2 linked regions of the Caenorhabditis elegans genome follow. The protein of the gene in region 2 purifies or fractionates together with the protein of the main gene of each other region. This does not show direct contact. Each region holds a gene or a part of one and is shown on either strand. Other genes may lie near its edges.

What was found.
Region 1: the proteins of cox-6C (region 2) and ucr-2.3 fractionate together in Caenorhabditis elegans (co-fractionation; one large-scale study listed by BioGRID). This does not show direct contact.

The regions. Positions count from the first base shown.
Region 1 is NC_003281.10:877,938-882,145, reverse strand, and holds ucr-2.3 (Peptidase M16 N-terminal domain-containing protein), read right to left. Parts: upstream 2,287-4,208; 5' UTR 2,282-2,286; coding exon 2,207-2,281; intron 2,156-2,206; coding exon 2,099-2,155; intron 2,057-2,098; coding exon 1,910-2,056; intron 1,866-1,909; coding exon 1,437-1,865; intron 1,373-1,436; coding exon 1,033-1,372; intron 986-1,032; coding exon 750-985; 3' UTR 688-749; downstream 1-687. Other genes in the region: zer-1 (Zyg eleven-related protein 1), read left to right, coding at 88-265; T24C4.5 (DNA primase), read left to right, coding at 2,572-2,671, 2,717-2,975, 3,027-3,237, 3,282-3,587, 3,640-3,720.
Region 2 is NC_003282.8:124,723-128,393, forward strand, and holds cox-6C (Mitochondrial cytochrome c oxidase subunit VIc/VIIs domain-containing protein), read left to right. Parts: upstream 1-2,008; 5' UTR 2,009-2,009; coding exon 2,010-2,158; intron 2,159-2,668; coding exon 2,669-2,792; 3' UTR 2,793-2,918; downstream 2,919-3,671. Other genes in the region: grld-1 (RRM domain-containing protein), read right to left, coding at 1-208, 923-1,052, 1,137-1,201.

The sequences.
Region 1 (4,208 bases), on a different chromosome or scaffold from region 2:
TATTGATAGCTGTCTTGACGTCTGCTCTTCCTCCCCCCATGTGGGTACTTTTCAGTGTTAGACGACTAATCTGATGTTTTATTACAGACGCAATCCGAAATCAATTCCTGCCGATCTAGCACATTCCTCGAATTCTCCAACATTTGTTCCAAGTTATGTGTCAGATGTCGAGGAAGAAGATGAAGGAGACGTTGAGGCAGATGAAGAGGTTCAAGACTTTGTCAATGTCGATTTTGATGATTATGCTCTTCCAATGGAGTACTAGGGCTTTGTCCTGAATCCTATAAAAGTTTTCTTTCATTTCTGTTATTTTCTATCGGGTAAGCACCGCTCCTCTTCTTTCTTCTCATACAATTTAAACCACTTTTCACCCAAATCTGTGTTAGTTGCTGTTCAGGAATCACTGAAATCAAAGTTATTCTTCTCTAAAGCTCCCCACGCCGCCTTCAATCTCTGTACATTATTATTTTTATCTAGAATATCCTCATTGGGTTCTGGTCGTTCTTCTGTCTGTCCATCATCCCGGTTTCTCCCCATCCCGTCTTATTCAGTTTCTGTTCCCAAGCTCCTCTCTGTCTTGGCTATTGTCATTCTCGTGCAATTCTATTTGTATTTTACTGTACATCTTCCCGCTAAAAACTGAGCTCTTTTCCATTTCATAGCTTCACTCTGAGTCTATGGTAGTAAACGATTTGATGTTTTTAAGAGAACGAAAATTAGCACAAAAAGTTGACAAAAACGAATTTAAATTAAAGCTCGTCGGCATATGGGATTCTTCCGTAATTTCCATATGCAGAGATGGCGAGACGTTCGAACGCGGCTTTGGTGTACTTCTGCACATCACTTTCTTGAATTTTTTGAATTTCCGCAATCAATTCCGACTGTTCTGGACCGTTGTAGAGGGCGTTTGTCGCCAAATCGTAGGCAGAGTAGACGTTGTTTTCAGCGTTGAACAAGATATCGGCGATAGCACGGCGCTTGCAGCCTGAAAAATATTTTATTTTAAAAACCAAGGGCTAATCTCGACTATACCTTCAATATCCTGAACTTGAGTAGTTCTCAACACCTTGACAGTTGCTCGAACAGCAGAATCTGCATTAGCTCCGGTTGCGAGCAAATAAACACCAACAAGGCCACTTCCATCATATGGTGCCTGGAATGCACTTCCAGTAACTCCTTCCGGAAGATTCGCAAGAGCGAGTCCACTGGTTGATCCTGGAAGTGATGCAAATTTCAGTGGAGAAGCACGTCCGATGTGAGCGAGAAAAACTGCCTGGGCAGCCAAAAATTTCAGATCTCCAACCGCTGCTCCATCTCCAGCAACCATTATATGAACATCATTTCCACGAGCGAAACGGCGATAGTCTCCACCCTAAAATGATTTTTTATTCAATATTTATTCAACATAATAAAATTTTTTTTTAAATTTTTCTCACCCTGAAAGGTGACCCCTGATTGGTGATGATATGCCCGTCTGGTACGACACCACACTCCTCGGCATAACTTTTCAAAATAGACCCATCGACATTAATTCCAACGAGAACGGCATTTCCGGATACAAAATGCTTGGCAGCGAACTTGGCAAGTTCCTGGGATTTGTAAGCGCCAACTTGTCCTTTGGAGGAGTACAGTGAAAACGAGAGGGAATCATTGCGGAAGGCAGCGCGATGAATATCCTCAAACACAATTCCATATGGAGTTTTCTGTGATAAATCAGCAAGAATTGTTGGAGTAACATCCTCTAGTTCCCATGGTTTAAAAGCTGGTTTGGCAGCAACGTGGCCGAGGATTGAGAGAGCGTAAGCAGCTTGATCGCGAGCAACACTTATTTGAACACCGAAAATATCACGGGTAGCGAAAGAGTTCTGAAATTAAAATGAAAATGGCAATTTAAAGAGAAAGAATTAACCAAATTGGCTCCACTGGCGGCTGATGACCAAACAAGCTGCAACCCTGGATAAGATTGAGCATCTCTTCCAACAAAGTTTCGAACGTGATGCACAAGTCCAGGCTGAGTGACCTTTTCATAACGAGAACCAGCACGAAAAGCGAGGATCTAGGAAATCGCAAATAGCTTTATTACTCGAATGCGACTCACCAATTGACTAATCGCTCCATTATTTTCTTGAGAAACAACTTTCAATCCATTGTTCAGCTGAAAATTCGATTTTAGTCGACTGAAAATAGGTTTCAACAAATAAATAACCTTTGTTTTGAGTGATCCTGTTGGTTTTTGGGTTTTGATGGCAGCTGCACTTTTAGACACAAACGATGATCTCATTTTACCTTTAAATAACTAATTTACGGAAAAAAACAATAATAGAGCGAGGAAAACGCAAATTAATAACTTGATTAAAAATGAGAAAATGATTCGTGAAATTCAAAGATGCGCGGTCGGTGTTGCAGACAACACACTGAATCTTACGACAAAACACACACTGTGATGAAGCATGCAAATGAGTGATAAGTTTGACGGAGTGATAATGAGAGCGGGCCATATGTGCGTGTTTTTGATAATTTTTTACACTTTCTAGCTTGAACCAAATATTTATACTTTTTCAATTTTCAGAAATGTCTTATAACTCAATCAGACTCCCACAAGATTTGCCAATATACTACAAAAACTTCTTCCCAGTCAAACCATTCACAAAATGGCTCTGCTACGGACAGAGTGAGTTTCGCTTTCGATTTTCTTAACGTTATTTGAATTTTGCAGATTACGGAGACTATTTCAACCGCCGAGAATTCACATTCATCCTGGCAGATGATGTTCATATCAGATATCGTAGTTACAATGACGAACACTCATTTGTCAAAGCACTTTCAAGTACTAATCCTGAAAAACTTGATATTGGAGCTGTCTACAATCACGAGCCAATTAACAACAAGAGATATACAGATTACCAAGCTGTGGAACGAGAATTGGTTTTTGATATCGATTTGACCGACTACGATCCAGTTCGTAATTGTTGCAAGTGCGTTATTAAGAGGATCTGTAATCCAATTTTCGAATATCTAATTTTTAGAGATGCCACCGTCTGCCCAAAATGCTGGAAATTCATGGTTCTCGCTGTCAGAATCTTAGACTTCCAACTGGAAGAAATGTTCAATTTCAAAGCACGAATGTGGGTCTTTTCTGGTAGACGTGGAGTACATTGTTGGGTCGGCGACAAGAAAGCGAGGATGCTGAACAACAATCAAAGGTCTGCAATTGCGACTAGACTCAATTTATTCAAGGTTAGAAGATTTGTCTGTTTTTAAAAAATAATTTTTTTTCACAGAAAAATGGTCAATGCGAGGTGACTGAAGGTCGGGCCAAATTGACGAGAGTTCCGCCGACTGTGCGTGACGCTTTTAATGTTGCATTGAAAGATGGAGTTTTCGAGAAAATGATCTATGAACAGGGATGGCTGGATAATGATCGTTTTATCATAGATTACCAGTATATGTCCGAATTCGGCAGAGATGACTTGCGTAGAATATCCGAGTCTTTCAAAACTCCACAAGAACGCTGGCACATGCTTCGTGGGCTTTTTGATAACGACTATCGCAAAACGCTTTCTCAAAATGACGGACTTCTCGATTTTGTAAGTGGAAGCTTTGAGATAATAATCAGAAAATGGATAAATTAATTTTCAGACAATGCAAGGTCGCGACCGAAAAAGGTTCTTCTCTACTTTGTTCTTCAACGATGTTATCCACGTCTTGATGCAAATGTAACTACAGGTGAATAGTTTTTTGTTAAATACCTAGAAAATAATTTCAAAATCAAAAAGAAATCATCTTATTTCAAAATAATATAGTAAATTCACCAGATTTTGACATGCATTGACATGCATGACATGCAGTCACACGGATTGATTCAGATGGGTCTCGGCGTGCAAAAAAAACTCCGTGGTAGTATTTTTTATTTTTGCGGCTGCTTCCTCGTTCATTTTCCTGAATTTTGTTGTTGAAAAATAGAAAATAAATGAGGAAACTGCCAAAAACATTAACTTTTTAGCTATCTTAATAAATTCTTGATCCTTTAAGGAGACATGCCGAAATCTTGGGAAATTACGCTACTGAAAATGTTCTTTGTTTCGAAAAGAGTTTTTCTTTAGAATTTCCCGCCCCACAGATTTCGAAAAATTTAAAAATATCTGAACGAAAAAAAAATAGTTTCCTAACTAGTCAATTGATTTTTTAATGAAACTGCGTTGATTTTA
Region 2 (3,671 bases):
CTCCGTGTTGAGCTCGATTAAATCGATCCGGAATGTATTTGCCCTCCTGATCACGTAGAATTCCAGCTGGATCACATTGAACACGCTTGCCGAGCACTGATTTTAGACGGTCCATTAAGGTGTATCTGACCTTCCGAGCACAATCATTTCTCTCGAAATTCACGTAGGCTAGGCGTTCGTCTTCTTCCGGGTTTTTGACCACTTTTATCTGAAAAAATTGGTATAAAATTGCGGAAATCTCAGGATTTTTTGGTTGAGGCTCAGGATTTTTTGGTTGAGGCTCTCTGGATTTTTGGTTGAGGCTTTCTGGATTTTTAGTTGAGGCTCTCTGGATTTTTGGTTGAGGCTCTCAGGATTTTTGGTTGAGGCTTTCTGGATTTTTGGGTGAGGCTCTCTGGATTTTTGGTTGAGGCTCAGGATTTTTGGTTGAGGCTTTCTGGTTTTTTGGTTGAGGCTCTCTGGATTTTTGGTTGAGGCTCTCAGGATTTTTGGTTGAGGCTTTCTGGATTTTTGGGTGAGGCTCTCTGGATTTTTGGTTGAGGCTCAGGATTTTTGGTTGAGGCTTTCTGGATTTTTGGTTGAGGCTCTCTGGATTTTTGGTTGAGGCTCTCAGGATTTTTGGTTGAGGCTTTCTGGATTTTTGGGTGAGGCTCTCTGGATTTTTGGTTGAGGCTCAGGATTTTTGGTTGAGGCTTTCTAGATTTTTGGGGCTTAGGATTTTTATATATATTTTTTGGACTTTTGAAGAATTTATTAACTTTTTAGCAACATTTATAGAAATCTAAGAAAAATGATTGCTTTTTTAATCGATTTTCGAAATATTAAAATCAAAAATTGGTTCAATTTCAGGAACATTTAGGAATTTCAGATTTCAATTTTCAAGTTATTTTTACAAAAAAAGTCGATTTTTTGCTGCTTTTACCTCAAACGGAGCATATTTCTTGAGCTCTTGTGTCAGATATTGCTTGATTTGTTCCCGTTCCAGACGGTCATCGAAGCCGGAAATTCGAAGATTCAGGTAGACTTCTGGTGAGTGGCTTCCGAAGCGTTCCCTGAACAAAATAGAGAAAATTATGATTTTTTTATTGGTTTTTTGTGATTTTTTTCGGCAATTTTTTCTTCAAAAAGCTCCTTACCGATAATAACTGGAAAGTCCGTTGCAATTCGGTCGGTATTGAGGTCTACCGCGTTCTTCTGCCATTTTTCGCTGAAGAAATTCGAATTTAATTCGTTTTCGAGAAGAATCGGCATTTTTAGTTAAATTTCTTAGTGATTCAGGTGTAGAATGAAACGAATAAAAGAAGCAATAATAAGACACAGAAAAAGTAGAGAGTAAGCTAGAAATAAGATTGACTAAACACTGAGTTTTTGCTGAAAAAGCCGATTTTTCTCAAAATTACAGCTGGAATAGAACAGACAGTACAATAGAAATAGAGTTTTAATATGAATTTTAATATTAAAGAATCTGAAAATATATTTAAACACCAGAAATTTGTGTAAATCGATGAATTTGTAGAGCTCGTGAGCTAATCAATTATTTGCCAGCGATGTGTGCATTCTGACGTGACGGTGTACGTTCGCGGTGGTTGCGTACTTTAAATTGTTGACCGTACTCGGTACTCGGCGATGCACTGCGCATTCTAGGAAATCGATTTTCTTCTATTTTTTGATTTTTAAATCGAAATTTCTAAAATAATTCATGGTTTTCTGTCAATTTCAGATTTAAAATTGACAATTTTCAATTAAAATATCAAATTTCATTCTAAAAATCCACTAGAAACGAGGCTCCACGATTCCGGCGCTCTCTGTTTATTTTGCACGTTTCCAAAGGGCGCTTCGAGCTTTTCCCAGTGTTTTATTGAATTTTATGTGTTCTCGTCCCATTTTCTCAGTTAAATCATGCATTAAAATTATGAAACTGCATTGATTACCTCTTTTTTCCCGGAAAAATCGTATTTCGTTAATTAAAAAAAGTCGATAAGGCTCAATTAAATAAATCTATTTTCAGGATGGTTGCCGCTTCTGCCACCCGTAACATGCTCCATCAATATGGCCGTCGCGCCATCGGCATCTCGTTGATCGCCTCCGTCGGCGCCACCGCCGCCTTCTTCTTCGGATACGTTCAGCCAAGACACGAGAAATACGAACGCTTCTTCGCGTATGTATTTTCAACTTTTTCATAAAATGTTGGTTGAAATTAACCGCGAAATTAGTGAAAAGAGCGAATGTTTGACATCCAGAATTCGTAAAAAATATGGAATTCAGTATAAATTTGCGATCCGTGGTGCCAAAATCGAAGAAAATCGCTAATTTTTCCGGATTTTCACTTTAACAAGTCTCGAAATCAGTTTTTTTATTGGGAAATTTATCGTTTTTGCTGATATTTCACTCAGGATGACCACTAGAAGCTTGTGAACCTCTGACACGATTTTTTGTCGATTTACGGAGCTCAATTTTATACTAAATTTTAGCTACATTTCGTCTAATTTTGCCTGATACTGGTCCAAAATGGAGAATTTCAGTTCTAATAGGAAACAAAAAATTAAAATACACACTTTTCCTCAAGGAGTACACGAGCAATTGACAAAAAATTAAAAAAAAAACAATTTACGTTCAAAATCGTGAATTTTATGTCATTTTCCCCCTGAAAATTCAATTTTTCTTTCAGCAACTACGATCCATACACCAGAATGAAGGAGATCTGTGCCGCGAACAAGGGATACATGCACACATGCCCACAGGAGCTCGCCAAGCTCTACGAGGAGAAGGGCAAGACTGTTGCCGATTTGTAGACGCCCACGCCTCGAATCTTGTGTGTGTTCTTGTACTATTTTGTTAGTCAATTTCTTATTCTCTTCGAAATGTTGCGATATTCTTAAATAGCTTGGTTTGTTCCGAATAAAAATGTTCGTAATCCGTTTCTTCGATGAGAGCCGAGGTCTCGGTTTCTCTGCACTCTCCCCTGACAACTACAGACTCTAATTGGCACGCCGGACACCTTTTTTCTCGTCTACCATGTGTTCTGCTGCTTTTGCAAAAATATATGGATTTCTTGAGCATTTAATCGCCGAGAAATCGATTTCCCCGTGGATTTTCACGATTTTGTGTCTGCGGAAACAATTTCCCTGGAGTTTGAATTTCGTGGAGCCAGATTCGCAAAAATTTTTAGTATCTAGCTTTTTGAACAAAGTTTTATGATAATTTAGGGTCTCGCCACGCTGATTACGCATCAGAATACTAAAAATTTGAATATAAAAAATTTCGGTGAATTCGAATCCACGTGAGCTATTTTCCAGGGTTTTTGATTCCACGGATATGAATTCCTGAAGATTTTCGTTTTTTGTGGTTTTTCAGCTGATTTTTTAGAAAATTTAAGATCTCGGTAAGAAAAATATTCCGCTGAAAAAAACGTCAAAAAATATAGAAAACTCGCAAAGCCGGATGGAAGCGAAGACCCCGAAAAATGGTTTCCGTGGATCCGGATTTGCCGAATTTTCTTTATTATTGAGGTGTTTAAGCGGAATTATGGAAGATTTAAAATTTTATCAAGAACTTTTTGCACAGAGACCCCTTGTTTCCGAAAATTCGACTGAAAACGTCAGAAAACTCCGCAAATCTGGATCCACGGGACCGAAGTTTCCGAAAAATTGTTTCCGCGGGTCCGGATTCGC